Linked DNA regions of Canis lupus familiaris. The main gene of each other region encodes a partner of the protein of the gene in region 2 in a complex. Links are inferred from orthologs where the notes say so. Each region holds a gene or a part of one and is shown on either strand. Other genes may lie near its edges. The genes, in order: ING5, MEAF6, VPS72, KAT6A, EPC1, MORF4L2 and ING3.

What was found.
Region 1: MEAF6 (region 2) and ING5 share a complex: the UniProt entries of both Homo sapiens proteins name them as parts of the HBO1 complex. The link is inferred for Canis lupus familiaris from reciprocal best matches to the Homo sapiens genes MEAF6 and ING5.
Region 3: MEAF6 (region 2) and VPS72 share a complex: the UniProt entries of both Homo sapiens proteins name them as parts of the nuA4 histone acetyltransferase complex. The link is inferred for Canis lupus familiaris from reciprocal best matches to the Homo sapiens genes MEAF6 and VPS72.
Region 4: MEAF6 (region 2) and KAT6A share a complex: the UniProt entries of both Homo sapiens proteins name them as parts of the MOZ/MORF complex. The link is inferred for Canis lupus familiaris from reciprocal best matches to the Homo sapiens genes MEAF6 and KAT6A.
Region 5: MEAF6 (region 2) and EPC1 share a complex: the UniProt entries of both Homo sapiens proteins name them as parts of the nuA4 histone acetyltransferase complex. The link is inferred for Canis lupus familiaris from reciprocal best matches to the Homo sapiens genes MEAF6 and EPC1.
Region 6: MEAF6 (region 2) and MORF4L2 share a complex: the UniProt entries of both Homo sapiens proteins name them as parts of the nuA4 histone acetyltransferase complex. The link is inferred for Canis lupus familiaris from reciprocal best matches to the Homo sapiens genes MEAF6 and MORF4L2.
Region 7: MEAF6 (region 2) and ING3 share a complex: the UniProt entries of both Homo sapiens proteins name them as parts of the nuA4 histone acetyltransferase complex. The link is inferred for Canis lupus familiaris from reciprocal best matches to the Homo sapiens genes MEAF6 and ING3.

The regions. Positions count from the first base shown.
Region 1 is NC_049246.1:51,598,550-51,603,407, reverse strand, and holds the start of ING5 (inhibitor of growth protein 5), read right to left. Parts: upstream 3,349-4,858; 5' UTR 3,270-3,348; coding exon 3,233-3,269; intron 2,227-3,232; exon of another isoform or gene 1,823-2,226; intron 1,056-1,822; coding exon 984-1,055; intron 1-983. UniProt on the Homo sapiens protein: Component of the HBO1 complex, which specifically mediates acetylation of histone H3 at 'Lys-14' (H3K14ac) and, to a lower extent, acetylation of histone H4. Component of the MOZ/MORF complex which has a histone H3 acetyltransferase activity.
Region 2 is NC_049236.1:5,044,078-5,047,962, reverse strand, and holds the end of MEAF6 (chromatin modification-related protein MEAF6), read right to left. Parts: intron 1,065-3,885; coding exon 935-1,064; 3' UTR 900-934; downstream 1-899.
Region 3 is NC_049238.1:60,907,009-60,911,710, forward strand, and holds the start of VPS72 (vacuolar protein sorting-associated protein 72 homolog), read right to left. Parts: upstream 3,238-4,702; 5' UTR 3,165-3,237; coding exon 3,048-3,164; intron 1-3,047. UniProt on the Homo sapiens protein: Deposition-and-exchange histone chaperone specific for H2AZ1, specifically chaperones H2AZ1 and deposits it into nucleosomes.
Region 4 is NC_049237.1:24,432,275-24,436,491, reverse strand, and holds part of KAT6A (histone acetyltransferase KAT6A), read right to left. Parts: intron 4,078-4,217; coding exon 3,916-4,077; intron 2,841-3,915; coding exon 2,747-2,840; intron 993-2,746; coding exon 761-992; intron 26-760; coding exon 1-25. UniProt on the Homo sapiens protein: Histone acetyltransferase that acetylates lysine residues in histone H3 and histone H4 (in vitro). Component of the MOZ/MORF complex which has a histone H3 acetyltransferase activity. May act as a transcriptional coactivator for RUNX1 and RUNX2.
Region 5 is NC_049223.1:12,487,219-12,491,435, reverse strand, and holds part of EPC1 (enhancer of polycomb homolog 1), read right to left. Parts: intron 3,220-4,217; coding exon 2,867-3,219; intron 1-2,866. UniProt on the Homo sapiens protein: Component of the NuA4 histone acetyltransferase (HAT) complex, a multiprotein complex involved in transcriptional activation of select genes principally by acetylation of nucleosomal histones H4 and H2A.
Region 6 is NC_049260.1:77,634,179-77,638,285, reverse strand, and holds the end of MORF4L2 (mortality factor 4-like protein 2), read left to right. Parts: intron 1-266; 5' UTR 267-371; intron 372-1,858; 5' UTR 1,859-1,882; coding exon 1,883-2,749; 3' UTR 2,750-3,401; downstream 3,402-4,107. UniProt on the Homo sapiens protein: Component of the NuA4 histone acetyltransferase complex which is involved in transcriptional activation of select genes principally by acetylation of nucleosomal histone H4 and H2A.
Region 7 is NC_049235.1:59,215,474-59,219,690, reverse strand, and holds part of ING3 (inhibitor of growth protein 3), read right to left. Parts: intron 3,323-4,217; coding exon 3,251-3,322; intron 2,316-3,250; coding exon 2,196-2,315; intron 1,917-2,195; coding exon 1,759-1,916; intron 1,185-1,758; coding exon 991-1,184; intron 1-990. UniProt on the Homo sapiens protein: Component of the NuA4 histone acetyltransferase (HAT) complex which is involved in transcriptional activation of select genes principally by acetylation of nucleosomal histones H4 and H2A.

The DNA.
Region 1 (4,858 bases), on a different chromosome or scaffold from region 2:
GTCTCTGCCTCTCTCTCTCTATCATGAATAAATAAAATTAAAAAAAAAAAATAACAAAGGAAACACCATCCCTGATCTACCGCAGATTCAGATTCTAAGCCACAATACCAGGAGGGGCGGGAGGAGGCGGGAAGCAAACCTTCATGTTCCACGATAACAGAAAAAAGCCCAAAGCAAAAGGGAAACAAAGTAAGAAACAGCAGCAAAAATAGGATGTTTAGGGATCCCTGGGTGGCGCAGCGGTTTGGCGCCTGCCTTTGGCCCAGGGTGTGATCCTGGAGACCCGGGATCGAATCCCACATCGGGCTCCCGGTGCATGGAGCCTGCTTCTCCCTCTGCCTGTGTCTCTGCCCCCTCTCTCTCTCTCTCTCTCTCTCTGTGACTATCATAAATAAATAAAAAAATAAATAAAAATTAAAAAAAAAAATAGGATGTTTAGAAACCGAGAGCTAAATACCAGGAGGTCGCAAAGTGCTCTCTGTTTAAACTATCTGTATGTAGTTCCAAACCAGAAAACCTTTTAAAAGGAAGGGAAAGGGGGATCCCTAGGTGGCTCAGCAGTTTAGCGCCTGCCTTTGGCCCAGGGCGCGATCCTGGAGTCCCGGGATCGAGTCCCGCATCAGGCTCCTTGCATGGAGCCTGCTTCTCCCTCCTCCTGTGTCTCTGCCTCTCTCTATGTCTATCATAAACAAATAAATAACTCTTTAAAAGTAAATAAATAAATAAAAATAAAAGGAAGAGAAAGTAATGAGGAACGGATGATGGTCGTAAAGATGCTACAGGGAGATGTGCTAAAACCTAAGAAATGAAGTCTAATTTTAAAGTGTCAGCACTCCCCATTAGACGCTACACAATGCCCAATGCCGAAGGCCAGGCTCCAGCCCCACTGCCCTGGAAGACCAGGGCCACCCCCAATATCCTGGTGCCAACTCTCCCCAGCTGTCAGAGCCTACCAGGGGCTGCGCTACAAGGCCTGCACCTACCTTCTGTCCTCTGGTCCAGCTCTCGCATAAGCTGGAAGTTCCTCTGAAGTTCACACGGAAGGTTCTCAATGCCTGAAACAAAGAGACGTGTACTTGTCAGTAGCGGGACAAAAGCCGCCTTGCAGACTTTACATATAAAGTCAACAAATAATAATCTGACTTCATTTTCTGTTTCTGCTAGGATTCAGGGAACAGAAGGATTAACGTATATTTTGTGGATGATGAGTACGATACTGGTGAGACCGACAGGCTTGAGGGGCTGTCAGAGCTGGAAACGTGAGAGGACTTACCCGAGAGCTGCAAGCAGAAGCAGGGAAGGTGACCCATGTGACTCTTCCACCCCACACTCCCAGCCAGTCCTCCCCTCTCGATACCCCAGCAAAATCCTGGGGTCTGTTGGGTCTTTGCCCCGCTTGAGCCTGACACCCGCTGCATGGGGTGGCACAGGCAGTGCCGTGTGGCAGACTCCATGCCTGGTCGGACATGGTCTCTCTAAGCTACGCAACACAGTGGGCGGTGGCCACGCAGCAGCTGGGCACTGCAGTGGGGCTGCTCTGCTCCAGGCACTGAACTTCTCATTTGCTCAAGGTTAATTAATTTCCAGTGAAACAGACCAGGCTGGACCGCACCCTGGAGGACCTCTCCCTGCCCTGTTTTGCCCACTGCACTGCCCTTCTCCTGCTCCAGGCCAACCTCCCAGCCCGCCTGCGTAGCCTTGATGGGCGCGACCTGGGCTCCTGTGCGCGGGGCCAACCCCCTCTACTGTCCCCAGTTGCCATCAATCATTATAGAGCAAAATCTAGTTTTCCAAGGCTACCGCTTAAAGGTGCCCAGCTCACCGGGAGAACGGCACAAAGTCCCTCCACGAGGCGCCTCCAGGCTGGGCGCAGACCTCCCTGTTCTGTCCTACCCTGGGCTCTGTGGGACAGTGCCACCTCGGCTCTCTCACAACCTGCTGGGCTCCTTCATGGAGCTTAATCTGCTGTGATTAAAAAAATCAGTTTGCCTCCTTTGAAAGTTAAGTTCCAGGAAAATGAGGCTCGAGGCTACTTTCACGGCACACAGCAGGCGCTCAAAGATCAAGCCGCACCTCCAGTCTGAGCCTCGGCACAGGTGCCCCGTGCAGGATGGAATCACCTGGGGGGCAGGTACCGACAGGGCCGGGCAAGCCCCAGTGCTCCCCGCAGACAGCTCAGCGCAGCGCTTCTGTCGCGGTGACACGGGCGCGTCCCCTCCGGGCTCGGGTTGGGCTGGGCGACCACCCTGGGGGCAGGGGCTCCCTCCCTGTCCTGTCCGCGGCTGCAGGAGCGGGTCCCGAGCGGCCGGTACCGATGACCGACGGCCCTGTCTGTACTCCACGTCCTCCCCGAGCAGTACAGCGCTGCAGCGCACCCGGCCCGCCCCACCCCGGGGCCGACCCCAGCCAGGGCCGGGCCGGCAGGGACCAGGGGCGTGACCCGACGGGCTCCTTGGCCGCTGCGGCCTGCACCGCCCTCGCGAGGCCAGGGAGGAACCCATCCGCGCAGGAGCTGTCCGGCGGCTCCAGGCCGAGCTGCACGACTGCGGCGGGCGCAGGACGCCCGCAGGGACCCCCAGGTCCGCCCGCGCTGAGCCTCCCCGCCCGGTGACACCCGGCCCAGCCCCGCAAGCGCCCTCCCCACGCCGCGCGGCACAGGCGCACCCCGGGGGCTTCCGCGCACCACGGTCGCCCCCAAGTCCCCGGGCCGGAGTCCCCGACCCCGACCCCGACCCCGAGCCCCCAGGCCCGGCCCCGCGTCCGAGGGGGGCGGGGCTCGACCACCTGCCCCGGACCGCGCCGCGGGGGCGGGGCCGGGCCAGCGGAGGAGGCCGGGAAGGGCGGGGCGGGGCCGGGAGCCGGGCGGGGCCGGGACGGCGGAGGGCGGAGAGGGCGGGGCGGCCGCTGCGGCCGGGGGCGGGGCCTGGGCCGGGGCGGGGGCGGGGCCTGGTCACGCGAGCCCCGCCCCGCGCCCGCCGGCCCCGCCCCTCCGTGACGCACCTGGAATTGGCGCGGCCGTGACGGTGGGACCCCGCGCCGCGCCCCCCGCGCGCACCTCCTCGCGGCCCCGCCCCGCCCGCGCGCGCCCCCGCCGCCCTCGCCGCCGCCGGCCCGCCCCTGCCCCCCCGCGCGCCCTCGGGGTCCGCGCGCGGCGCCTGGTGCCCGCGGGGCGCGGCTGGCGGGGGGGCTCGGGGCGCGGGCGCCGGGCCCGAGGGCCGCGAGGGGCGCTTACTGTCCAGGTAGTGCTCCAAGTACATGGCGGTCGCCATCTTCGTCCGCGGCCGCGCTCCGGGTCTGCGCGGGCGGGCGGCGCCGCGAGGGGCGGAGGCGGGGCCGGCGCGCTCACTATTAATGAAGCTCGGGCGCTGATTGGCCCTCTGGCGGGGCGGGCCGCCGTCGGGACCCGCCCCCGGACTTCCGGCCGCCGGGCTGCGCGCGATGTCGCGCGGGCGCGGGGCGCGGGGCCTGCGGGTCGGCGGGGCGCCCTCGGCCCCTCGCCGCGCGGCCTCCGGCCCTGCCCGCGGGCCCCGGAGCCCCGCCCCGCCCCGCCCCGCTCCCCCGGCAGCTGCTCCGGCGGCGAGCGCGGTCCCGGGCGGCCGGCGGGCGGCGCACGTGCGGGCGCAGGTGCAGGTGCCGGCGCAGGTGCAGGCGGCCCGGGGCGCGGGGCCGGGGCCTCCCGGGCGCCTCCCCCGCCCGGCGCGCCCCGGCCGTGCCGTCGCCGCTTCCTCGGTGCAGACGCGTGTGTAGACGGGGAGCCCGTTCGTGAGCTCCCCCAAGCCCGCCAAATACCAACACATGGAGACCCCGCTTTGCCGACATTGCGGTCCCTGAAAACCCCAGTCTCCTTGGGAGCCGGCGATGCCCGACCCCGGACCCAGGCCCGTCGACTCGGCGTCCGCCCGGGTCCCGGGGCTCGGGCAGGTGCACAGGTGCCCACGGCGCGCCCCGCCCTCGGCCCAAGCCTGCTGTTTTCCTTGGCTCCATAGACTTTAGAAATAGAGCAGTTCCAGGTTCACAGGGAAATCGAGAAACGGGGATCCGAATACCCCAGACACGCGCGCGGGCCCATGACAAGCACGTGCACTGTGGCACGTTCATTATAACTGATGCGGTAACACGGATACATTATTATCACATGAGCCCCATAGATCGGGTCGGGGCCCCCTGTGCGCCCCCTGGGCCCCACCAGCGTCTGACCACCCGGATCGCCCTACAGGATCGCCCTACAGCCAACGGGACTGTCGCCGCGCCCCGCCTTCCCCGCAGCCCCGCAAGCGCTCCCCTCTCTCTGCGCTTTTCCCTTTTCCTGCATCTCGTGGAGTTGGGGGCGCACAGTGTGCAGACTTCAGGTTGGCTTCCACGGAGTAAAAGGCATTAGGTCTCCTCCACGCTCTTCTGTGGCTTCACGGCTCGTCTCTTCTTAATGCTGCGTAACACTTGATGGTCTGGATGGGCCACGGTTTACCCGTTCACCTACGGAGGGACACCTTGGTTGTCTCCAAGTTTGGGCGATTACGAGTAAAGCTACTATAATCACTGTTGTGCAGGTTTTTGTGTGCAAATTCCTTTGGTTGAATACGAAGAAGCGTAAGACTGTCTAGGTTTGTGGGAAACCACCAAACTGTCTTCCAAAGTGGCCCCATCCCCTTTCATCACCACCAGCGAAGAATAAGAGTTCCCATTGCTCACGTCCTCACTAACATTTGCTGCCAGTGTCCCTGATTTTGACCGTTCTGTTCTGATAGGTGTGGAGAGATGGCTCATCATTCTATTTGCAGTTCCCTAATGAGCATCTTCTCACACGTGTACTTGTCATCTATTATCTTCTTTGGTGAGCTGTCCATAACGTTTGCCCATG
Region 2 (3,885 bases):
GGGGGTCCTCTCGCCCTCCCGCGGGGGTGGGGTGCGTGTATGTACCTGTACAGGTGTAACGTGCACTATCCTAAGTGTAAGTCCTTGCCTCTCTTAACATGTCAATAAAGTTCAATGTGAGCCCTGCGTTGTGCTTGGGGCGTGGCCGGGGCCTTTGGGCAATGGGGGGGTCCGCAGATGTGCACCCACCCAAAGTGCTCGGCCCCTTGGGGGCAGGGCCTGGAGTGGAGGGGGGGGACCCACAGGTGGGGGTGGGGGGGTTGGTGGGGGAGGTCCCGGAGTTGAAGCAGGTAAGGGCTTGAAGTCCTGAGGCCATGGTGTGGGGAGGGGGTGGCAGGGGTTGGGGGCAGGATTGGTCTGTTCCCCTTTCTCTCCAGCGACCAGAGCCGAGGACAGAAAACCACCTGGCTGAGAAGAGCGCTTCCAGGACAGCTGAGGAGACAGGGGGGGTGGGGGTGTGGGGGGGCTGGGTGCTTGGCTCCAGCCCCTTCCTCCCAGGCAGGTGATGCCAGCGTCACCTCGGAGGTTGGGGGTCCTGATCCCCAACTCAGGAACTGGCCTGCCACCAGCTATGTCACCGGGGCAAGTGACTACCCCTCTCTGGGTGGGCCTCAGTTTCCTCATCTGTGAAGCGGGGAGCATGCGTGTTGAGCACATGACCCAGTGCCTGGCACATAGTAAGTGCTGCGGGCTGTGCTCACCTCACCATCCTGACCCTCTTAGTGGCCCCTAGGAGGAAGGAAGCCAGGCAGAGATATACATTTTTTTTTTCCAGATAAATAAGATCTAAAGGTTAAATATTTTAAGTGAAAAGCTGGATTATCAAATGATCCCAAAACAAACACTATCAGCAGGAGAAAATGGAAAAAATAGTTTTTTTTGAAAAAATACAGTTTTAATCATTCTATATTTGGACACCGCACCTAATCTGTACTTATTGTGAAGCTTTTACAGTATCTGTATTTTTTCTCTTCTCTTCTTCTCTTCTCTTTTCTCTTCTCTTTTCTCTTCTTTTCTTTTCTTTTCTTTCTTGAAACTGCTTTGCCACAGAACAGCTGCACAGCCTGGTGAAGAAAACGCCAGACTGGCCATCTCCCTGCGCGCTGGCCCCCCACCCCCGCCCACTGCGTTCTTCACCCTGAACATCTTTTCTTTCTTTCTTTTTTTTTTTTTTTAATTTAGAGAGAGGGAAAGAGCAAGTTGTGTGGGGGGTGCAGAGGGGCAGAAGGAGAAGCAGATCCCCACTGAGCAGGGAGCCTGACCTGGGGCTTGATCCCAGGACCTGGGGATCGTGACCAGAGCAGAAATCTAGAGTCAGACGCTCAGCCGACTGCACCACCCAGGCCCCCACCCAGGCCCCCGTTCTGTAGAAGCCTGCATTTGAAGTGGGAACCCAGGGGCAAGGTGGGACCGCTCTGAGCAAAGGTTCTCTTGCAGCCCCCACTCGTGCTCTTCGGGGCACCCCATGCCCATTGCTTCCAGCCACTTCGGAAGGTTTTAGCTGCACGAAGAAATGTCATTGCCTTGTAAGATTTTTTTTTTTTCCAATCAGGTACTGTATTCCAGATTAAAAGGCTATTTATGGATCTTTGTTTTTTTGGGACGGGAAGCTAAAAGACCAGACTGTCCAGTTCGTTATCAGCCACTGGCACGGCCAGGGAAGGCCACCGGCAAGGCAAGGCCGAGCGCCTGGCCGGAGGTCCCAGGGACAGGGCAGGCTGGAGGAGGCCCTGGGGTGGGGGTCTCTGGCTCCACACAGCTGAGGAAGCAAGGCCTCCAGACGCTGCTGGTTTGCTTTGCAAGGGCTCGCAGGCCCTGGGGGAGGGAGGGAGGGAGGCACCCCCACAGAAGCCCTACTGCCCCGGGAGGGGGGCAGGGCCATCCCAGCCACCTGCTCAGCAGGGGCCGCCCCAGCAGCACCCGCCAGGCCCGCCGGCGCACTGCGTGGAACGGGAAGGCCACGAGGCCTCAGGAGCGGCCTGGAAGCAGCGTGTGCTCCCTGCCACCCCACCAGCCGGGGGCCAGCCCCGAGGGCCGCAGCATGTGGGGTGTGGGGTGAGGAGCGTCCGGGCAGGAGGCAGGGGCCCCTCGGCGCCGCCACCGCACCCAGGACCTGCAGCCACGGGCCACCTGGCCCCCAGGCCCGGGCCTCCCCATCCCGCCTCCCGCCCGCCGCAGCCCCTTCCCTCCCAGGGCCTGGGTGCTCCCACTGCCCACAGGGGGGCCACAGGGGGGCCCTGCGCAGCTCCAGGCCGACCAGGAGACCCCTCAGCTCGCTGGGGCCCGCCGGGGTGGAGGGGTGGCAAGGCCTGGCCATGCGGCCTGCGCAGCCCCCTCCCCTCCAGGCCCGGGCTCCCCGACTGAGCCCCAGGCTGCGGCGGCACGTCTCATGCGGGCTCCTGGGGCCCGGAGGGCCGCAGAGACCCCCAAGCTCCGGTGCCGAGGGGACCCAGCCCACAGGGCTGCCCCGCTGCCCTTTCCTCCTCCGCCTTCCTGCCTCCAGGGCTGAGCGGCCGATGGGGAAACCAGGGAGTATGCAAATCCCTGCATTGCTGGGAAATGATCCTGGGGAGCTCCCGGAGCGCCAGCCCCCCCCCACCCCCAGGCTCTGGTCAGCACGGCCTGACCCAGAGGCGGGCTAACCTCCCCAGGGGCCAGGGTCACTACAGAAACCTTGGCCTCCCTGGGCAGAGAAGCAACTGGGCCCCAGTGGATGAAACTTGGAACCCTCCCTTGGGTGTCCCCACCCCACCTCCCTGCCTGAGGGAAGCCCAGAGGGCCCTCAAGGTCCATCTGGGGGACTTCAACCAGGAGCAGGAGGGCGCTGGGGCTCCAGGGGAGTCGCTCTCCCAGCCCCCCCAACCCCCAGCCCCGGTGCTGGTGCGGGGCAGTGACTGGGGAGAGGCCACCCTGACCGCTTCCTTCCCCCCTCCCCACCCCATCTCTTCCCGAACACAGAAGGGCAGGACCCCTGCCCGGAAGGAGGGGCTGGAGGGGTCTCCAGCAGAGAAACTGGGGAGGAAACATCTAGGACCTGGGGGGCGGGGGGCATGGAGCCAGCACCTCAAGCCCTCAGCCCAGCTGGTCCCCAGAGGCTCCTGCCCCCCAAATAAGGCAGTCCCGGGATCCTAGCACTTTTGCTCCAGGGCTTCTCAAACCTCTGGCTCAGTTTCTTCCCCAGGACCGTAGCTCGGTGGGTGGAGTCGAGGGCGGTGAGTAAGAGCCGGTTCTGGGGACCTCCCGGTTCATGGGAAGGGTGTGGGAGATCTGGCTCAAAGAGGCAGGAAGCAGAGCCCTGCAATTAAGGAAACTCAAGCCATCCCAGGCCACGGTATGTAAATCCTTCCAGCTAGTTCCTGGATGGGGAGGAGGCCCCAGGCTGTCAGGCTGGGATGCGGCCTTTCGAAGCCCATCTCACGGCAGCTGCTGGCCGTCTTAAACTGGCCACCCGCTCACGAAACGGCCGCAAAACCAGGTGGAGGAAAAGGATAAGATGACCCCAACACCCCCCCCAAATCTGAGCCCCGGGAGGCCGTGGCGCTTGTGGGGCTTTGCCTGCCACCTGCTGGCGCCTCCTGGTACGACCGTCTATGCAGCAGGAGGCGGCTGGGCCCCCAGGGCCTGCAGCACTGGCCTCACAGAAGCGCCTGGAGACAAGCATCATCAACAGGGTCCCAAAACGAGACTCTAAAGAGAATTATATGGAGAGCGCTAAGGCAAAAATGGGAATTTTTGTTTACTGTTGTTTTTTTTTAATATGAGCTCTATGCCCAGCGTGGAGCTTGAACTCAGGACTCTGACATCGGGTCGCATGCTCTACCGACTGAGCCAGCCAGGGATCCCCTACAAGGGGAATTCTTAATGGCATTTGCAGCTCCACCCTGG
Region 3 (4,702 bases), on a different chromosome or scaffold from region 2:
ATGGAATAAAAACTTAGACCTCAGTAAAGCAGAAGGCTGTCTTGGGCAAGAAATCTTCCTAGTCGACTGCCTTTGACTCCAGCACTGTCTTCTTCCAACATTAACTGACTGCCCTCCAAAGCTAGAAGACTTGAAAAGGTTGCCTTCAGTCAACAGAGAAAGAAACTCACGTATCAGGCTAATAAACTCGTGACTTTTAATTTGCAGGCCAATGATTCTCAATTCTCTCCCTCTCCTTACTTGTCCCATTATTGATAATCTTTGTTGAGGTAAACTTACTGAGACATAGGTCTCATTCCTCAGGTGTGTTGCAACAGAAAAATAACTGAGTTCTTGTAATATGTATAATGGAGAGCCAATGAAGATTTAGGGAGGAAGGAAAACTATATACCAGGGCTGTTTCAGAAAGCTCTGGAAGTTGTTAGCTGAGTGGAGTAGAGAACGTGGAGTACACCCTAGAATTGAGGGGTTACAGGTTAGGACTAGAATGGCAGCCACATAGGAAAGTAAAGGGAAAAACACACTTAAGGGCGAGGGAGTCAAAAACTGGGCAGGGTGGCACCTCAAACATGTGGCTCTCTCTTCAGTCAGGGATGTAGACCAACAGGCTAATCCTGGTACACATGCTGCCAAAGCAAGCAAACAGCACAGACAGCTGACATGCCAAGCTAGCCAGAGTTCAAACTTGCACCGATGGCCATCATTTCCTCCCAACTGATGCTTGTGAAAGACTGCCTGGGAACACATTAATCCCCTCAGCTCTAACCAGGTATTAAGTCATCGCACCAGAGAGTAGTCATTGAACTGCACATTAGCTTAGTGTCCGTCCAATCAAGATGCTTTCACTAAGTTAGGGATTTACTACCATACCTTTGGCTTTTATCAAGGGTCATTAATAGGCATGACTAGGTAAGTGAATGTTTCTACATCATCTAGTGAACCCATTACTTTATAATTTTATGTAGAAGTGCACTTCTTCCTAGGACTTAATGCTGAATAAATTTTTCTCTCTTAAAGAATGTATATGCCTCTTTCTTACTGAAAAAAGAAATTCAGGGCTTGGCTGCCAGGAAGCTCACAGCTAAATTTATTATTTATTTATTTATTAAAATATTTTATTTATTTATTCATGAGAGACAGAGAGAGAGAGAGAGAGAGAGAGAGAGAGAGAGAGGCAGAGACACAGGCAGAGGGAGAAACAGGCTCCATACAAGGATCCTGATGTGGGACTCGATCCCGGGACTTTGGGATCACGCCCTGAGCCAAAGGCAGATGCTTAACCACTGAACCACCCAGGCGCCCCGCTAAATTTAATATAAATTGCTATTACTATTTTAGCAGAGGTTCCTGGTACAATTACTTCTGATCTGTCTCTATTTTTACAGTTCCTACTTTTTGTTTATATTGTAAGCCTCCTTTAATCCTTTTTGGAAGCATGAAGGGTACATATTAAATAACGACTCGTAAAATGACAGGAATAGGAAAATGGCCTTTGGGGGAGGGATGAGAACATTCTATTTTAAACTATAGTTGGTCTACTGTGTAAGTAATGACTCCCAATCAAGTCCTGTGGATTCAAGTCCTATGGATTCAATGTCCTTAATTTGTCTTGAAACTATTGCCCATGTTTCTCTACTCCCACTGCCTCCTTCAAACCATTCTCCTCATTACAGAGTGAGCTTTCTAAAATACAAATCTGATCATGGTACTTTGATGAATCTTCTCAGTCGTCTAGAAAAAGAGCAAAACCCCTCAACATGGTTCATAAGGCCCAACATGATTTGGCCTATGTCCACTCCCTCCAACCTTATCAATTTTATTCTCCTTCAAGGTTTGGAGAAAGGAGAGTAGGCCTGCATGTACCACACAGACTCAGTACCTTTACACATTCTGCATCCCCCCCACCCCTCCACACACACACCGTTTCTCCTTATCCTGCTCCCAGCCCTACTGCTGTTCACTGAGTCAAGGCCTACTTTTCATACTGTAGTAAGCTTAAACATCATGTCCTCCAGGGAGGCCAATCCTAACCAATAACTCTGGCTCCCGTATATTACCACAGCACCCTAGCTTACCATTTTTTTCCCCTCCTTATCACAAAGTATTTCAGCTGTTAATCCAGCTGGTTCCCCCCACTGGGGTCTGGAATACGAGTAACAAAGTGGTGTTTTCAATACTTTACGCTTCCCTAGAACTTACCACAGTGGTTGGCTTGCCCTAGCTCTTCAACAGATATTTTTTTAAATTTTTTATTTATTTATGATAGTCACAGAGAGAGAGGGGCAGAGACACAGGCAGAGGGAGAAGCAGGCTCCATGCACCGGGAGCCCGATGTGGGATTCGATCCCGGGTCTCCAGGATCGCGCCCTGGGCCAAAGGCAGGCGCCAAACCGCTGCGCCACCCAGGGATCCCTTCAACAGATATTTTAAGAATGGACAGATTCAATCAGCACCAGTGCCGGTCCAATCCAGAGAATGGACCAGGCACTGGACGTATACTGCTGGACAAAACAGACCATCTCTAACCTGACAGAGCTTACAATCTAATAGAAAAGTATAAACAAGTAGGCAAACCAAATCTAATTGCAATTCGAAATATATTATATGAAGGAAATAAATGGACCACTTTTTAGAGCAGTTAGGGAAGGATTAACTAAGGAGACATTGACGTTGAGATTTGAAAGGTGAAAAAAGTAGGCTGAGCTCCTGTATTTTGTGAAGAGATCCTTTTCTACCTTCAGGTGGATAACCAAGCAGTAGGCCAGAGTCCATACTGCGTGACTACGAGGAGCTCGAGTACGTTAGACGTCAGAAGTGAAACACGCAACCCGAGAAGTATACGCTTGGTTTCTTCCATGGTCTGGGGTGCCTCGGAGAGCCCCTCATCCCTGAGCCCTCCAACCCCATCCAGGACTCTCCCACCCGCTCTCGAATATCACTCCCAGGGCTGATTCTATCCATTCCCCGCCCCCTTCTTTGTCCGACGTTTCTCCGTTCAGGACTCCTAGTAGCTTCCTCCCCTCCCTCTTCCTGGGCCCGACTCTTGCCTCTGTGAAACCCCCGTAAGTCGTCTGGTAGAACTCATCTTCCTCCTCGGCTTCCAGGAGCCCAGAAAGCCGGTTCCCCGCGGTCTTCCGGGGGGCCCGGCCACCGGCCAAACTCATACTGCCTACCGAGACTGCGCCGCCACCAGCGGCCCCTCACCCAGCGCGGTATCGGCGCTCGACACAACTACCTGCGGCGGCGGGCGGCGGCGGAAGCCCTTCGTCCACAGGCAGAAGTAGGAGAGCGTCGAGACGCTTCTAGGCCCGTCTGTCAAGCCTTCTTCTTCTTCTTTTGTTTTTTAAGATTTTATTTATTTATTCATAGAGACCGAGAGAGAGAGAGGCAGAGACACAGGCAGAGGAGAAGCAGGCATCATACAGAGAGAGCCCGATGTGGGACTCGATTCAGGGTCTCCAGGATCACGCCCTGGGCTGCAGGCGGCGCTAAACCGCTTCTTTACCCTGCAGCCCCGCCCACGGGGGGGGGGGGGGAGCGGCGTGGAGACGACCCCCAAGCTCCCTCCCCTAGCTCGCGCTGATCTGGACTGCAGAATGATTACCGGGTGACGCCAGCAGCCCCACTACCCTAAGTCCAGAATTTGAGAGTCAACAAATGTTCACTTAGAAGAGGTCAGTCTCCCTCTGCTCCAGTCCGTTTTCCACTCTGCTTTTAGTGATGAACCTTTCTTAAAAAACAGACTTTGTCAGTCTTCTGCTCAAAGATCTTTAATGGGGATCCCTGGGTGGCGCAGCAGGTTAGCGCCTGCCTTTGGCCCAGGGTGCGATCTTGGAGACCTGGGATCGAATCCCACATCGGGCTCCCGTTGCATGGAGCCTGCTTCTCCCTCTGCCTGTGTCTCTGCCTCTCTCTCTCTCTCTCTATCATTAATAAATAAAAATTAAAAAAAAAGATGTTTAATGGCTCCCTGGCATCTACAGGTTAAAGTACAGGATTCTTGGGGACAGAACAGTAGTGTGGTTAATATTAGATTTATAACCAACCAGACCTGAGTTTTGAGTTTAGGGTCTTCTAGCTGTGTGACTTTGGACAGTTGGTGGAATCTCAGTTTTCTCACCTGTAGAGTGGGACGAGGGGTGCCCGGCTGCTCAGTGGGTATAGCATGTGACTCTTGATACCAGGGTCGTGAGTTCCTTGGACATGGAGTCTACTTAAAAAAAAAAAAAAAAAGAGGTGGGAGTAATAACATCTACCTTTTACAGTTGTTGAAAAGATTAAAAGATTAGGAGATCTAATCCTTTTAAACTTCTTCAGCAGGATTTAGTAAGCACATAGATGGTTAGTAGGTGATAATTACTATTAACATTGACATTAAAGATCCTGCATAATTTGGCCTCTCCCTGCCTTTCTAGTTTCACCTCTTGCCTCATCATCCCATTCTAGCATCACTTCCCAATCCTCTGTCGTGCCTGTGTGCTTTTCCTTCTCCTTAGGATTCTTTTCCTATCTTATATACCTGGCAGAATCCTGGTTATATTGGACAGTGATGTCTTCCCACTCGCCCACCTCGCTTCCTAGCAGTTTCCATAATCATGGAGATCATGCCTCCTCAATTCTCCAGAATAGTTCCAATCTCAAATAGTCTGTGGAATTGTTAAGACCCTGTGTCGACTTCTTTTCCATCTTTTATCCTGAAAAT
Region 4 (4,217 bases), on a different chromosome or scaffold from region 2:
TTTTTCCCGGCGGATTATCACAAATCTGGAACCAAAGCAAAGTTTACAGCAATCAATGGTGTGTGTACAAGGAGTGCCTGACAATGAATATGGAGCTATAACCCCCACAGAACCCTGGAGATGATGACAAATGCTTCAAAAATGGCCTGCTTGGGAGGATAAAATATAGAAATATGTCACTATACGAGATAGCTAAGAAATACGGAATTGGACAGATACTTCACAGTCAACAAGAGCAATGGATGAAGTCATTTGAACCATTCACTGTCTCACACTTCCAATCTCTGGAATTTCTGCTACTCTCTCGTACTCTATCTCTATTGTCCAGCTTTCTAGTCCAATGCCTCCTTCCTTTCTCTGTGATCTTTTCCCATACTCTCTAGATAAGGGGGAATTAAACTTCCCCTGTCCTATATTTTATTTTGTATCACTTACATGGAAAAAAATCATGGGTATATTCTATTAGACGTTATTTCTAGAGTTTTTATTTACTTCCTGTATTGTGAAGGAGCTCCCAACATTAGAAAATAAAAGATTCAATAGCATAGGTCCAAAAGTTAGAAGGAAGACTAGAAAAAAACAGTTAAAAAGAAAATATGGTCAATAGTATCAAATATCACAGAAATAAAAATGGTCTCTCAGGATCACTAAATGTACCACTTATATTAGTTTATGCCTTTTTATTGATAATATGGCTGCCTGATCCAAACACTTCCACATAATTATCTTTTGAGAGTGTGCCAAGGGGTATGATACTCACTGGTCACTACGGAAGTCCAGCATTCTTAGGTGGTGGAGTGTGGAAGTAATGTCTTGAGGGCAGATTCCAGTCAACTTGCTTAACTTCTTAATGCTGATTTGCTTGTCATTTTGGTGATAAAGGCACTCCAATATTACACTTTTCCAATAAGCCATGTAGGAAAGACGACCTAGATCGGATAATGGTTTCTCTGGAGACCCTGCTTGGCCTTCACGCTTTGATAACAAATAACCTAAAGAAACCCCCGAATCACAAATATGTCAGAGAGCCTAAAATAGGCTAATTCACCAAAATAGCAATCCCCTCTTCACAATCAATCTAAGCAAAATAGGCAATAATAATGTCAAAGATATATTCCTTCAAGAAAAAGAACAAAATTGAAAAATTACTCCAACACATATTTCCACAAGATGACGTAATTTGTACATACTGAACATTAGGTTATTATTACTCTATCTATACTTACTATAAATCACGTTAAAACATTCAAATTGTTAAAAAATCATAGGACTTCATATTAACAGGCTGCATTAACAAGATTAAGGCAATAATCCTTTTTATTTTATGGGGGGAACCTCCCTTGCATGTTTTATTTGGACCACCAGATGGCAACAGCTACACCTGAATTGTTGAACAATACAAAAGAATGCCTTCATTTTTATGTAATCCTATCTGTTAAGATTGTGGTTCTTCTGCGAGTGAATCAGATGACCATTTCTCACTTCAGCCAAAGCTCTCCTAACAATTACCTCACCTTAATTCTTAGTAAGCAAGGATGTCAGCGTGAGGATGTCCCCGTGAGTGTATGGTGGGATTTGTCCTCCTGTTTAGAGCAGGACTCTCAAGAACAGGAAGAGAAAGGCATAAATACTAAGAGAAAGCACTGACAATGGAGATGGCAGAAGAAATGCAGTTTTTTTGTTATCAAAGGACGCTTTACTAAAAGCAGTCTGTAAATAGTGTAACATGGGAAAATAGATTACGTTACGAAAAGCAAATGAAAAAAAAAACTGTAATCATAGACTGTTGTTTGTGTATCTCAAAAGTATAACTAATTAGTATAATAAAATATTTTCCCTTAACTTTCCTATTTAATGGCATAACATCCAAACATGAGTCCTATTTCAGAACAATATATTGATATTAAAGGAAACAATCTGAGTTGCACTCTCTACTACCAATCTAAAAAGGCCAAGAAAATGTACAAAATCATCATCAATGGCACATATTTCCAATAAAATATTCAGGAGTACAGTCTAAGGCCAACTAGAATAAGCTGCACTGGTCCATCTGAGAATTAACTCCTTAACACTGGTGATATAATCATCTGATATTTAGGACTGCCTATATAAAAATATTCCTCAAAACTTGCTATTCTATAATCAATATAAAATTTATTGTAAACATATATTTACTTTCTAAGCAAGACTATCAACATGTAAAACAAGATTCAAAATCTACATTGACTTTTTTAGAGCTGTTAGCTTTTAATTTTTAAGTCAGATTGAATTATTTCCTACACCATTTACTTTTAGGGTTTTTTTAAAGGTGCACTGCATATTTTAACCACTAGGTAGAGCCCGTAACTAAAAAATGATGTACGCATTTTCTCAGGTAATTGGGTAACAAAAAATAAGGCGAGCGCTGTATTTCTCTACTGTACTAACTTAAGTAGTTATATAATGTATTGAGTATTACTGTCAGAATTATCATAAAACTAAGTTCCACTGTAAATTCAGAGTTTATAATTAAAAGTATTTGCAATAGGTCACACAAAAGTGAGTATTCAGTATAAGCTATTTTAAAATATTTCATGTCCAATCAAAAGAAAAAAAAAAATTCATGACTTTAGGTTTTAAAGTCCCACACTGCAGTATGACAAAAGATACTAGCAACCAATAAATCATCTGTAAATCTCTAAAAATACAGATATCACAGAAGGTCCACAAGAAGAGATAATGAAAAACTGTATTATATAATCCTTACTGAAATCGATGAGAAACCTGCCATAGCCCTTACGCTGGTATTGGGGAAGAATCATTATACAGGAAACGTTGTACTTCTGTTGGCAGTGCTTTTCCTGGTAAAGAAAATTGTAAAACAACATGTGGATAAGACTGAATAGTAATGCTAATTATCAAGAAACAAAGACTAACAGTCAAAACCACAGCCCTGGTCCTTTGAGAATAGCAAGCTCATCAAGAAAAAAATACCCCACTGGGAGGAGCTAGGACAATGTTAAGTCATTGCCATTACCCACAAAGCAACCATCCCAGGAGAATAAAAATATAAAATAAAATTATGCCATCTAACACCATCTGCAACTCCAAAACAGTATGTCATTGCCTAAGATGAACAGAGGAATCTGAGTCCCAATCAATCTGCAAAGCTACAAATGATGAGTCAGTGTGGTACTCCAGAAATGGGAAAATTCATCAACCATTTCAAAGATTCTCTTATTTCCTGCTCTGGTGATACACAGGGCAGTCCCATCTCTCCACTGGTTGTACCTAACTTCACAAAAAATAATCTGAAAATGTTGGGTACAGTTCCTTTAAAAATCAGGCAGTATCTATAAAATTACATTTAACTTCTGAAATAGCCAACTAACAGAAAGCTGGTACTTTCCACTTACCTGTTTCATACACTTAGATTTTATCATAGGCTAACTTAAGTATAAGTACATCTTTTATGTGGTTTGACTACAAAAAAACACCTTTTGTTCTCCCCAAGAGAATGGAAGATTATTAGGAGAGAAAAATATCCTTGAATTAAAATGGCTTCTTATTCTTATTTAAATTCTTCAAATTTAAACTAGGAAGAGAAGATTTAAACTGAGAAACAGCTCACAGAGGTAATGACTGTTTATTTCACAAGTTCTGGCTATTATTACCCTGGGAATAGAAGTGATTTAAAACCTTTTCCTCTAGAGTATAAATGGCAGCTCATGTTCCTAGGAGAGTAGAGTCTGTTGAATGTTATTAGGCACCTTCTAGCACTTGATATGATTCTGAATGTTCCTTCTATTTTCCTTTCCAAAAAGCCAGATAGTACTTAGAAGGTGCTGATAGTGTAGTTTCTCCTCAGGGGAAGTGACAAAGATTGTTTTAGATTTCCATGTGAATTCAAACAAATTTTAAACTGAATATACTTACTTTAGAAAAGTAGCCAACAAGGTGGCAGCCCTTGACATCATTCTGTGTTAGTACATAAAAAAGAAATGGCTCCACGTCATAATAGAGCGTTTTGTGGTCAAGAAACAACTTTGCCAAGAGACACAGGTTCTGACAATAAATGGTACTGACATTCCCATCAACCTAGAGGAAAATAATAGAACAAAATGGTCAGGAAAAGTGGCTCTTTAGTTCAAGAGTACACATCACTTACAAATACCTGTGAGTAACATTGTCCAGCCTCAGAGAAGCTGTCAGTAATCAGAACCTGGAAGCTATCCTTT
Region 5 (4,217 bases), on a different chromosome or scaffold from region 2:
AGAAATTCTAAATACACATATATTTAAGTCTTCCCAACATTGTGTCACTCTTTTGTGTGTTATCCAGAGGATCATGCACTAGAGCACCTGACCAACCAGGTTACTAATCTGGCCACACTACTATGCGAAATGGCCAAGACTGGGAAGCAAGCAAAAAAATTCTGAGCACCAGGAACTACAAAAGTTGGTGTGTTAAAGCTCATGCCCTTTATTAAAAATAATGGGCTCCTGATATCCTCATTTAGAATTTCCTGTTTGAAATAGGATCTTTATAGGTGACTTTTTAGAAAAAGGAAAATCAGTCCAGAGGGCATCACTAGGCCACAGCATACATATAAATATTAATATTTAAAATAATGACAGATTAATAAAAAACTGCTAAATCAAAATACTTGGCTTAAGCAGCAAACAAGAAAGTATATATCAACTGACTTCTATCTCATATATAGTGGTTAAGTTCTAAAGTCAGTATAGTAAAAATTAAGCCTTGAAAATTCCTTTAAAGTCTACCACAATGGATGTGTCTCTTTCAATAAGCCCAGCACAGACAGTTTTTCCTCTGGCTTATGGTTCTGTGGTTGAGTACCAGATGAAATAGTTGGGCTTATATTTGGGGGCCATCTATATGAAAAAATTTATCTTTAAAATTACAATTACACAGACAAAGGTGAGAAGATTAACCTCTGAATGAAGCGGCAAAGGAGGCATGGATATTCCGAGTAACAACAGATTCACTTCTGCCATTCCCAGAGTGGTCCACTCTGGAGAATAGGTTCTTTTGGTTGAATTGTATTTAGAATCCTGTATAACTTTTGAACTGTTAAAATTTTATTTTTTCTTCAGGGGCCTATAGTTGAATTTGCTTGAGTGTAACATACACATGATAGGACTCTACTAAATAGGAAAGAATAAAGCATGACCCAACAGCAATCTGTAGGCATCTATTCTCTAAGCATACAAAAAAATCTAGTAAAAATTAAGGGAAAATTGAAACAATTATGTGCAACAAAAAAATAAATTCATTTTTAAAAAGTTGTATCACATTATATGGGGGAGGAAATGATTCAAAAGAAAATTATACAGTCATTAAAAATTGTTTTTCAGCTAAACTTTTGGTAACACTACTGGTTCAATGTTCACTTTTTAACGTTCTTTGGAAAACACAAATCAAGTAAGTTTCATAAAATCAATGCTTACTTATGCAGTATAGCAAAATAATTTACATTTAAAATGATCATTAAAAGATACTAGGGTAGTTATACAATTCGACTTCTCTATTATTATTATCTTTTTTTTTTTTTTAAGATTTTATTTGTTTAAGTAATCTCTACACCCACTGTGGGGCTTGAATTCACAACTCATGAGATCAAGAGTCTCATTGCTTTCACTGATTAAGCCAGCCTGGCACCCCTCAACTTCTCTACTTTAAAGGGTGAGAAGGTGGGGATTGATGGAGCATGCCAGTTTTCTATAAGAAGTCTCAAGGAATTTATACAGCTTAAATATCTATCAGGGAAAACACGTTACAAGTTTACACCTTTAAAAGCTCTATACTTGCATACTATATAGTCCTCCTCCATATTGAAAAGTTCTTTATTTTGATTTTTAAGACTATAATAGCTGAGAGAAATGGACTCTGAAATTAATGGGACCATACTAATCCATTAGACTTCAGAATAATTTATATTATCTTCTAGTTGATTTTGGAAATGTGATTATTTTTCTTATGAGTAAAGACTTCCATTTCATACAAGTACTTGTTTTCCAGACACAAAATAAATTAGTTTATGGGACCTTTTCTAGAGATCTTTAAGAATAAGCAGTACATTTTCGTATTTATTAGAAAGGTTTAACTGTAGCCTTACCAGGTAATTAGGGCAACATAAATACCTTTATAGTCCCTTCAAAATCTGTGTTTAAATGATCTTTACAAAAATCTATGGTAACATAATTCTAACAGTGAATTTCTATAATCTACATGCCTCAAATAACACAGATTTATGCTTTAAAACAGAAAGCTGGGGAATATAAAAAATAGTGAAAGGGAATAAAGGGGAAAGGAGAAAAAATAAGTGGGAAATATCAGAAAGGGAGACAGAACATGAAAGACTCCTAACTCTGGGAAACAAACTAGGGGTGGTGGAAGGGGAGGTGGGGGTGAATGGATGACGGGCACTGAGGGGGGCACTTGACGGGATGAGCACTGGGTGTTATTCTATATGTTGACAAATTGAATACCAATAAAAAAATAAATTTATAAAAAAAATACAACAAACAAACAAAAAAAACAGAAAGCTAAAATTTTAGGAATATTTAAAGACAGGATGTATTTTAGACACATTTCACAATGTAGCCATAATGCTAAAGTAGATGTTATCTGGAATTGCCTCCAACATTTTAACAGTCCTATAAAATTTTAAAAATCCTTTAATTTAAATATTGTTCCCTCTTATAAATTATTCTGCATTACTGTCAGTAGATAAGACTTGTGCATATCTACAGACTTGCCAGACTACTTTTGAACAGTTTAAATAAAACACAAGAGAAGTGTCCAAGCATAAAATGGTTACAATTAATGGCCCATTTTCTTTTCATATTCTTTGATAATTGCTGAATTGTAAATTGTGGGTTCACAGAGCATATCCAGGAAATAAATGTCATACATTAAGTAGCAGTAAATCACCTTTGTGTGTGGGTGTGTTTAAATGAAAACACATGTACAAACAATTCAAATAAATACTTAACCTAGGTCCGTTTTCCTCATTATTTGAGAGAAAGGACTTTTAGCTTTAAATAAACCACATATTCAAAATATGGATGAACCTGACATTTCTATAGAAATGTACATCATAACAAATAAACATACCAAAATGTGCTGAACCACTGCTACTTTTACTTTGCGTGGAGGTACTGCATGTCTGGGTCCCAGGTTGTGCTGTTCCTGTTCGATTTATACTCCTATACAATTTTCTACAGGAGAGTTCATCATTGTCACTGTCATGTAGGGTTGGTGTCCGAGGCCTAAAATGCCGCCATCTACATGATTTGATATTGACTAGTATCTGACTGAGGTCTTTAGAGAAAGATTTGTCCGAGGTATTTGTTTCTGAGGTATTGGCAAACTGATTGACTGGAGAATGTTGTGGAGAGGAAAGCATTTCCAAATCCAGATGACGAAACATACTGTCATAGTCTGAGTGAGCTCTGTCCAGTAAGACCCTGTTAAAAATAAGGCAGGGAACATATATGTAAAACAGCTATTCAAAAATTATATAAAAAAAGATCCTCCCAGTTCCCCCAAAGCCATCTCATACTAAACATTTAAAAGCTAGAAATTTGATTATTTCAGTATTTGACCCTCTAAGCTAAATTCTCAATTTGTTTTTAAATTCTCAATTTCTGATAAAAGTTTTTACTTTATAATGATCTGATTAAAGAAGAAAGCAATCCACCTTGAGGAATTCATTTTACATCAGCAAGAGCTTTCTAACAGTTCCATGAGCTGATCTACCAGTATGTTACTGATATAAAACCTGGACTTATTTTTCTTTCCAAACTGCTTTTCAATCAGAGATTTTTCTTTCCGTTACAAAGCACCAAAACACTTTATAAAAGATCAGTTCTCTATTAAGCAAAAACTTCCTTCTTTTTTTTGGGGGGGGGGGGCAGGGGTGGAGGAGGTAGGAGAAAGCAGTAAATGGTATGCTATCTTTGGGATATTTTATAGCATTAAAATTTCTTATCGACAAAATATTTGAGATCTACTACTGTAGAAGATATATTTTTATGTTATTTATATAAACTTTATAAGTAATTCCATCTTAAAATACTAACAGCGACTAATGTTAGTATAGTATAAAATATAAATGACATGGAATTTTGGCTACTATTGATATCAATGTAATGACTGGGGGGAAAGCACTAAATAAAATAAATAATTTCAGTGTCCAGACAATTCTAAAGTAATTAAAAACTGCAATTAAGACTTGAAAATGAAAGAAACATACGTATAAAGCATTCATTAAAAACTACATCCTGGGATGCCTGAGTGGCTTAGCAGTTGAGTGTCTGCCTTTGGCTCAGGACATGATCCCGGGATCTATGTGGGATCGAGTCCCACACTGGGCTCCTTTTGGGGAGACTGCTTTTTCCTTTGCCTGTGTCTCTGCCTCTTTCTCTCTCTCTCTCATGAATAAGTAAATAAAATCTTTAAGAAA
Region 6 (4,107 bases), on a different chromosome or scaffold from region 2:
ATGAAGTTCTTAAGAACCTGTGAAATCTGAGGGTAGTTTCCCTCATTCCATAGATGAAAAAAAGAGACTAAGAGAGCATACATATTTTGCCCAAGTCCTCACAACTTTTAAAAGGCAGAGCCTAAATGAAGTAGGTCTAACAGTGGAACTTACATATTTTCTCTGATATTACAGTTGCAAACCACATGGTCAAAAAATTAGATTTTTAAAAATTTTTTTCTGAATTAAAGTTTATCTTCATTGCAGATACCTGTTTTCCTTTCTAGGTTGTGTCTTCCACCTCATCCTTCCAGACCATCCCAGGAGATTTGGGAGGTTCCATCTGGGAAAACACTAGGAGTACTTGGAAGGGAAAGAAGGAAGAGGATTATGTAAGTCAAAAAAATTGCTTCCTGTGTCACACTATAAGAATCATAGCCCCCTATTTTTCATCTTTATCTTACTAGTTCCCTCTGCTGCATTTTATACTGTACATTATCCCTTTCCTTTCTTAAAACTCTTTTGACTTATTTGGCTTCCAAAATAACATTCTCCTAATTCTTCTATGGCTGCTCTGACCATTTTTGTGTTGTTTTTGGTCTCTGCTAATCCCTTAAATACCATTCTTTTAGGTTTTTCCAGAATTTCATACTTTGGTTCAGTTTTTCTTCCTCTTCTGTCCATGAATGACTTTGATGGCTTTCCTAGCTTCCAGTAGTAGCTGTGTGATGATTACCCTCAGATCTCCATTTCAGGCTCTGACCTTCACCTGAGCTTTAAAGTTAAATATCTAACTTTACATCTCACACGTAGTAGATCCAGTACTGAAGTTCTTTCCTCTCTAATCCACTTCCTCCTCCTCTAGATGCAGTCTTATTTGGTGATAGTACTAATGACCTAATCACCCATTCTCAAAACCTGGAGTCATCACTGACTTCTCTCTGATTTATCACCTTCTCCAACAAGCTAATACTGACAGTGGTGTCATGTACCATTTCTTGTTTGCTCCAAAATACTCTGTGCCTATAACCGTCATTGTACTAACCTCGTTTTTTTTTTTTTTTTTAAGATTTTATTTATTTATTCATGATAGTCACACAGAGAGAGAGAGAGAGGCAGAGACACAGGCAGAGGGAGAAGCAGGCTCCATGCAGGGAGCCCGATGTGGGATTCGATCCCGGGTCTCCAGGATCGCGCCCTGGGCCAAGGGCAGGCGCCAAACCGCTGCGCCACCCAGGGATCCCTAACCTCGTTTTTTTAATTGTCACCTTAGATTTAAACCCTAGGACCTAGCATAGTATCTGTCCCAAAGCAGATAGGCAATAATGTATGATAACTAATTGAATAGATGCATTTGTACAAAGCCACCTTTGACTGCTCCCTCTTCTTCATTTACCAATTTCTGTATTCAGTTTCCCTTGACTCTGTCATCACCCTAGTTCAGGATTACTTGGACTCCTACAAAAACATTTACTGCTACTCATTTTGCCTCCAGTCAACTAATCTTTCTTTGTTCTTTTATCTTGTCATTTATCCTGTTCAGACAGTTTTAATTTCAATTCCACTGCCTTTTGTAGTTTCTTTTCCATTTAATTTATTTTTTTTCTAAAATTATATTTCTGTCTTTGGAGTGGCACCAAAAAACTAACTTATGGGCAAGTCTGATGAGCGATTGGATGGGGTGAGTAGTGGTTGGTAGTGAAAATCAAAAAGAGGGTGGAAGTAGTAAGTCAGTCACTTACAAATGATCCTGAACTAGGATTTGAAATCTAAATTCCAAGAAAATAGCTTGTGTTTTACTGTGGTAGGCCTTTATGAAGTAATATGTGTTAAAGGTCACGATAGAAAACAACGAAGTAAAATATTTTATATATTACAGTGGTTGGAATAAAAACAGGGTTGAATGAGTTCCAGAAAGCAGGGTTCTCAAACTCGTGGACAACAATCTGCAGAAGAAGACAACTTCAAAAAACCAACTAGAAGTAATATGCAGAGAAGTAAGATGAGAGGGGCCTCCTCAGGAAAGAAGACTGCTGGTCCACAGCAGAAGAATCTGGAACCAGCTCTCCCAGGCAGATGGGGGGGTCGCTCTGCAGAGAACCCCCCTTCAGGATCAGTGAGGAAGACCAGAAAGAACAAACAGAAGACACCTGGAAACGGTGATGGTGGCAGTACCAGTGAAGCACCCCAGCCACCTCGGAAGAAAAGGGCCCGGGCAGACCCCACTGTTGAAAGTGAGGAGGCATTTAAGAATAGAATGGAAGTTAAAGTGAAGATTCCTGAAGAATTAAAACCATGGCTTGTTGAGGACTGGGACTTAGTTACCAGGCAGAAGCAGCTGTTTCAACTCCCTGCTAAGAAAAATGTAGATGCTATTCTGGAAGAGTATGCAAATTGTAAGAAGTCGCAGGGAAATGTTGATAATAAGGAGTATGCAGTTAATGAAGTTGTGGCAGGAATAAAAGAATATTTCAATGTGATGTTGGGCACTCAGCTGCTCTACAAATTTGAGAGGCCCCAGTATGCTGAAATTCTCTTGGCTCACCCTGATGCACCAATGTCCCAGGTTTATGGAGCCCCACACCTACTGAGATTATTTGTAAGAATTGGAGCAATGTTGGCGTATACGCCCCTTGATGAGAAGAGCCTTGCATTATTGTTGGGCTATTTGCATGATTTCCTAAAATATCTGGCAAAGAATGCTACATCTCTGTTTACTGCCAGTGATTACAAAGTGGCTTCGGCTGAGTACCACCGCAAAGCCCTGTGAGGGTCTACTGACCACTCACTGTTATGTCTGGTATCTGTAAACACTCTTTTCGTTCTTAGTCTTTTTCTTGTATAATTGATGTTCTTTAAAATTGTTAATGTATAACAGGGCTTATGTTTCAGTTTGTTTTCTGTTGTGTTTTTAAACAGAAAATGAAAGGAGTACAAGCTCCTTTTCTCATTTCAAAGTTGCTACCAGTGTACGCAGTAATTAGACGAAGAAGAAACATTCAGTAGAACATTTTATTGCCTAGTTGACAACATTGCTTGAATGCTGGTGGTTCTATCCCTTTGACACTACACAATTTTCTAATATGTGTTAATGCTATGTGACAAAATGCCCTGATTCCTAGTGCCAAAGGTTCAACTTAATGTATATACCTGAAAACCCATGCATTTGTGCTCTTTTTTTTATGGTGCTTGAAGTAAAACAGCCCATCCTCTGCAAGTCCATCTATGTTGTTCCTTAGGCATTCTATCTTTGCTCAAATTGTTGAAGGATGGTGATTTGTTTCATGGTTTTTGTATTTGAGTCTAATGCACGTTCTAACATGATAGAGGCAATGCATTATTGTGTAGCCACGGTTTTCTGGAGAAGTTGATATTTTAGGAATTGTATTTCAGATCTTAAATAAAATTTGTTTCTAAATTTCAAAGCAAGTATTTTGCAGCATGCCTTTAATATTATTGAGGCTGACTAGTCCGCGGGCTCGGGAAAGATCTAGGTGGTATCAGAGAGTTCTGACTCCCAGTAAAAGAATTCCTTTTTCTGTTGGGTGTGGCAGCCAGGAGTATGCTGTCATTGCCAGTTCCCCTCCTCTTCCCTCATTGTGGCTTCTCAGAGTGACTGCTTTCTAGTGCTGCTTATAAGAACTCCTTGCCCCTGTGAATTGGGCTGGCATAACAGAATATTTAGTGGATACTATAATAGTTCCTTACACTTACGCAGAGCTTTGCTCTTGACCACAAAAGAAAATATGGGCAGCCACCTTCAGAAATACTTAACAGATTTTGGACCAAGGATGGCCGCTTTCCCTAGTTCCAACATTGAGTTCATGTTCTGTTTTTATAATCCCTTAGACATAATAGTGGGAATCTAGAGTAGGGGATTTGTGGAGGAGGGTTGATGGATGTCTATGATTATAAATCCATTCTATAAGGAAATTTACCAAACCAAGTTTTGTTTCATGACAGTGTTTTTTTACTTCTATAGTAAAAACATAAATTATCATGGTTACTGGAGAGATTTTAGAAAATACAGTAAGAACAAATCTGGAAATGAGTCCTGTATGATCCTCCTAGATCAGTCAGGGTCCCAGCAGGAAATAAATTTTATTCAAATCGATGATTTGAGAAGTT
Region 7 (4,217 bases), on a different chromosome or scaffold from region 2:
CAGGTAATACTTGTAAGAATTAGTGTTCGCTACGGCTATCTTCCAGACATTCTTTGTATTTTTAAGCAAATTGAATGCTCTTCATCAAAATCTAAAACACAAATACACAAAAGCAGTTGATGAAAATGATCATGATCATCAACTGAGATGTGAATACTTACCTGTGTTAAGACAGGAAAGAGTGTGCAAATTCGCAAGGAATTTAGCAATATTTACATGCTAATTAAATTTTAAAATAGGAAAATTTATTATCAGCATTTGTAATAAATTTGGGTCATTAAGATGAATTACTTTTTGAGGTACCTAGCACTTTTGTGGTAATTCTACATTGATCATTCCTGGGATTTACTCACAGGAAATATAGTACATTTAAAAATACATTATGATGCAATTATTAGATAACAGCTCTTCTTCTGGTTTACCATTTGAACTTTCATTATGTCTGAATATCTAGCAAATGCAGATACTGGGGATAGATGGTACTAAACCCTGTTAAGGTTTTGTGTTTAAGACAGACAACCATCCTAAGAGTCTTATATACAAAAATATAGGGATATTTTCATACTTTCAATTTGGGGGGCATAAGACCAAGAATTAATACAATTTCCTTTTAATAAAAATGAAGAATTTTGTTTAAAAAAAATTCCCAGGATAAAATTTGTATCTTATGCATTAATTTACATTGGGACACGTGACAAAATAAGGGGCCATAAAGGAAAAAGTTTCCATAAAATGGCTTATCCTAATGAACAGAAGAAAGTAAACAGGAGTCATTTATACCTAATTTAAGACTCTAGAAAGATTAAAGACTTTTAACACCTTTTAGAGACTTTCCTCCTCCCGCAAGTATGACAGTGTGTCTTCCTGCCTCCCCCACGTGATCCTGATCCATTACATCCTACCTTTGTCGCACATGGCCAAGCCCAGCTGGATGCCAAGCCGACTGCATACTTAGTAAGGGCACAGGGCCACTGTAACAGGGAAACCTACTTGCTCTTTCTCCCGCTCCGGGAGTCGGCTGCTGACGAGCTGGCGTTCTGTGTTAATGTAGTCATGAGTGCCGAAGATGATGAATAGCCAGCTGTTTCTCTGGGCATTGAAAATTCTTTTCCCAGCTGAAAGTCATTATTCTTAAATGCTTCATAACTGGCTTTTAGACTTGATGTTCTTCGTCCCTCTTTCATCTTAAACAGACGTTCATTGATAATATTAATACACATATATATGCAGATTTTCTTTTTCAGTCCTACTAGTTGCAGTATTATGTCAGTTTATCCAATATTCTTTTGCTTGAACCATTATTTTCATCACTGTCATTTGAACTATTTTATGTAAAGATTTAAAATCAGTTTTTACACAGTTAGGAGGGAACTAGAGAATTGGTGACTTAATTTGGAATATAAACTATACAGAAGCGAACAAGTGTAATGCAGTCAGTTCAGGGCTGCGACACAGAATGGAGTACTGTCCTAGCAGGTGCTATGGCTTCTTGTCAAAAACATGCACATCATGAGCAATCACTGTATGAAGGGATCTGCATGACATTGCACGAATCCATTTTTTTTACTTTTCATTATCAGGTAAATTGATGCACATCCATTTCATTAAATAAAACATCAGGCATCATAAAACCACGGTTTAAAAATGAAACTATACAATAATGTAAGAAAACTCTGTTCACACCTCGTTGTTTCTATTAAAGTTTGCCAATGATTCAGACAAAATGTACCTGCTATTTCCAAACCTCTTCCTTTTTACCTGAGCTGTGGCTTGAACTGCTTGAGCTGCAGCCATGGTAATTGCCCCTGCACCAGTTCCTGAAGATAATGAGCCAATATTATAGGATGCCAGAGGTTGGGAGGAATTCACATTGTAAGCATTGTTGGAAGAAGTTGTAGAATTATTATTTCGACACCCTATGTAGAATTAAAGAAGAAATAAAAATGGTTGGAGAGAATATAATGTTAGGGAGCTTAAAATACATTATTTCCCAGTACAGATATAATCATTAAATTTAACATTTTCATGTCACTATAAAATTTTCATGCGCCATTTTTCCTTTTTCTTCTTTCCCCAAATGTGGACTTTAAACCAAGTAAAAAATCAGTATGATTTGTTAATCCTGAATGCTTTCATTTCTCCTTATTTTAACATATACAAACATCAAAAATTCATGTTTAAGATAATAAACTTACCTAGCGTATTTTCCTTAGAGGCATCTGATGTAAGCGTAGATAGAAGAGCTTCAGATTTAAACTTCTTTTCAGGAATATGATCTGTCGTTGTATGGTGAGAAGTCGGATTATATTTCCTTTCTGAATATAAATAAAGAAATTTTGTGTTTTAAAATTTTAGAGAACTGTGGACAAAACATAATACTTCCATTCAGTTACAAGCAGGTACAGTTATGTCCTGAGTTCTTTATGGAATACAGAACAATATGTTTTCTTGGAAGACAGGAGAAGCAGAACTCTCTGTGGCACCTGGTTTTTTAAGAGTAGCCTTCTCACACATTAAAAATAACTTCAGCAGCAAAGTACTGCGAATAACTCACAAGGCACCATGGTTTCACATATAGCATGATAGGAATTTTGTTTTCAAAACACTATCTACAATTTTGAATAGTTCTCTCAACCATTCTTTCATATCAGATTGATCTGTCACAAGATGCGCTGATACAGTCTTCTAACTAGCTAAGATCCAACCAACCATTCATTTACTCACTAACTCACCAACATTGGGGCCTTCTTATATGCCAAGCAGCACACTAGGCACTGAAGAAGCAAGGATGGCAAAAAACCAAAGAGCCTACCATCACGTAGCTTATCGTTTGACTTGAATTATAACACTCTCTAGAGAGAATCAGGTGTCTGTAATGTAGGAAGTATATGCTGCTATTAATACCATATATTTATCCTCAATGTATCCCAGGAAAAGCAAACTCTCTACTCCCAAATCAAATATGCTTTTCTCAAATGACAGCAATAAGTCTATCAGGAACTGTAAGGAAAAATAAAAATAAAAATAAAAATAAAAAATAAAAATAAAAATAAAAATAATAAAAAAATAAATAAAATAAAATAAAATAAAATAAAATAAAATAAAATAAAATAAAATAAAATAAAATAAAATAAGGGAGAGATATTTTTTTCTCAATTGGTTGTATGGAGCCAATTAAAAAAGAATATACAGGTAATATAATGAATTTTTAATTATACTGAAAATTGTAGCTGCCCAAAACCAAACTTACTTTCCACTGGAGTATGTGAATGAGCATGGTGATTGTTCACTGGCTGTGAAGGAGTATCTAGTTCCAAAGATCCTAAGAATGAAAGGCACAGAGATACATGTCAACATAGAACTTTAAAGGTCCCATCAACTACAGGCACTCTGTACCCTCACCTACCAGAGGACTGGGAGCCCTGATGCACATACCTGTATCATTTTAGTCAGAGAACCACCACTGCCAACTTTATCCTGAGGCAATTTCATCCTCTCTCTAAACAGTATGTAATCCACTTCTTAATATTCACCTTACGTACAAAAAAGCTCAAGGCATGCTAATGTCTAATTGGGGAATTCAGGACAGCAGGTACCGCATAAGTGGATGAATGGATACTATAACTCCATTTCCGATAAGATCTAAAAACTCAAACTAGTTATACTGGGCTGAAGACCTTTCTACGGGAGATCCTAAAGTATTAGGTGATGGGACATTACCATATGAGATAAAATTCTTTGATTGTTAAAAGGACATATGATAGTAAAGACTTCCTAAAAGAAGTTAGGCACAGAATCTCTACCGCCAAGCATTAAAAGACTTTTAATGAAATTTTCTGGGTTTATCTTGATCCCTTGAGATGAAATTATGGCAGGGCACAGGGTGGAGCAGATTTTATAACTTGATTTCATTTAGTGTGTCTGTGTCCTTACAGAGGATGCTTCATTAACCTTCCTGCAGTACTGAATAGGCATGAATTATTGTTATTCACAGCTATTATCAGCATCTCGAAAAAAAATTACAACAGCTACAGAACATTTTATTTTGTCTCAAACACTATTCTCAGATAGGATTTCCTTGGAATAAAAGTATCACAAATAAATTAGATGATCATCTAAAGTGATAGATCTACTTTTGAATACAAAATTGCAACTATAGATACCAACATGGACTCTTGACTAGGTTATTCTCCTAGTCTAGGGAGTGTGTGTATCTA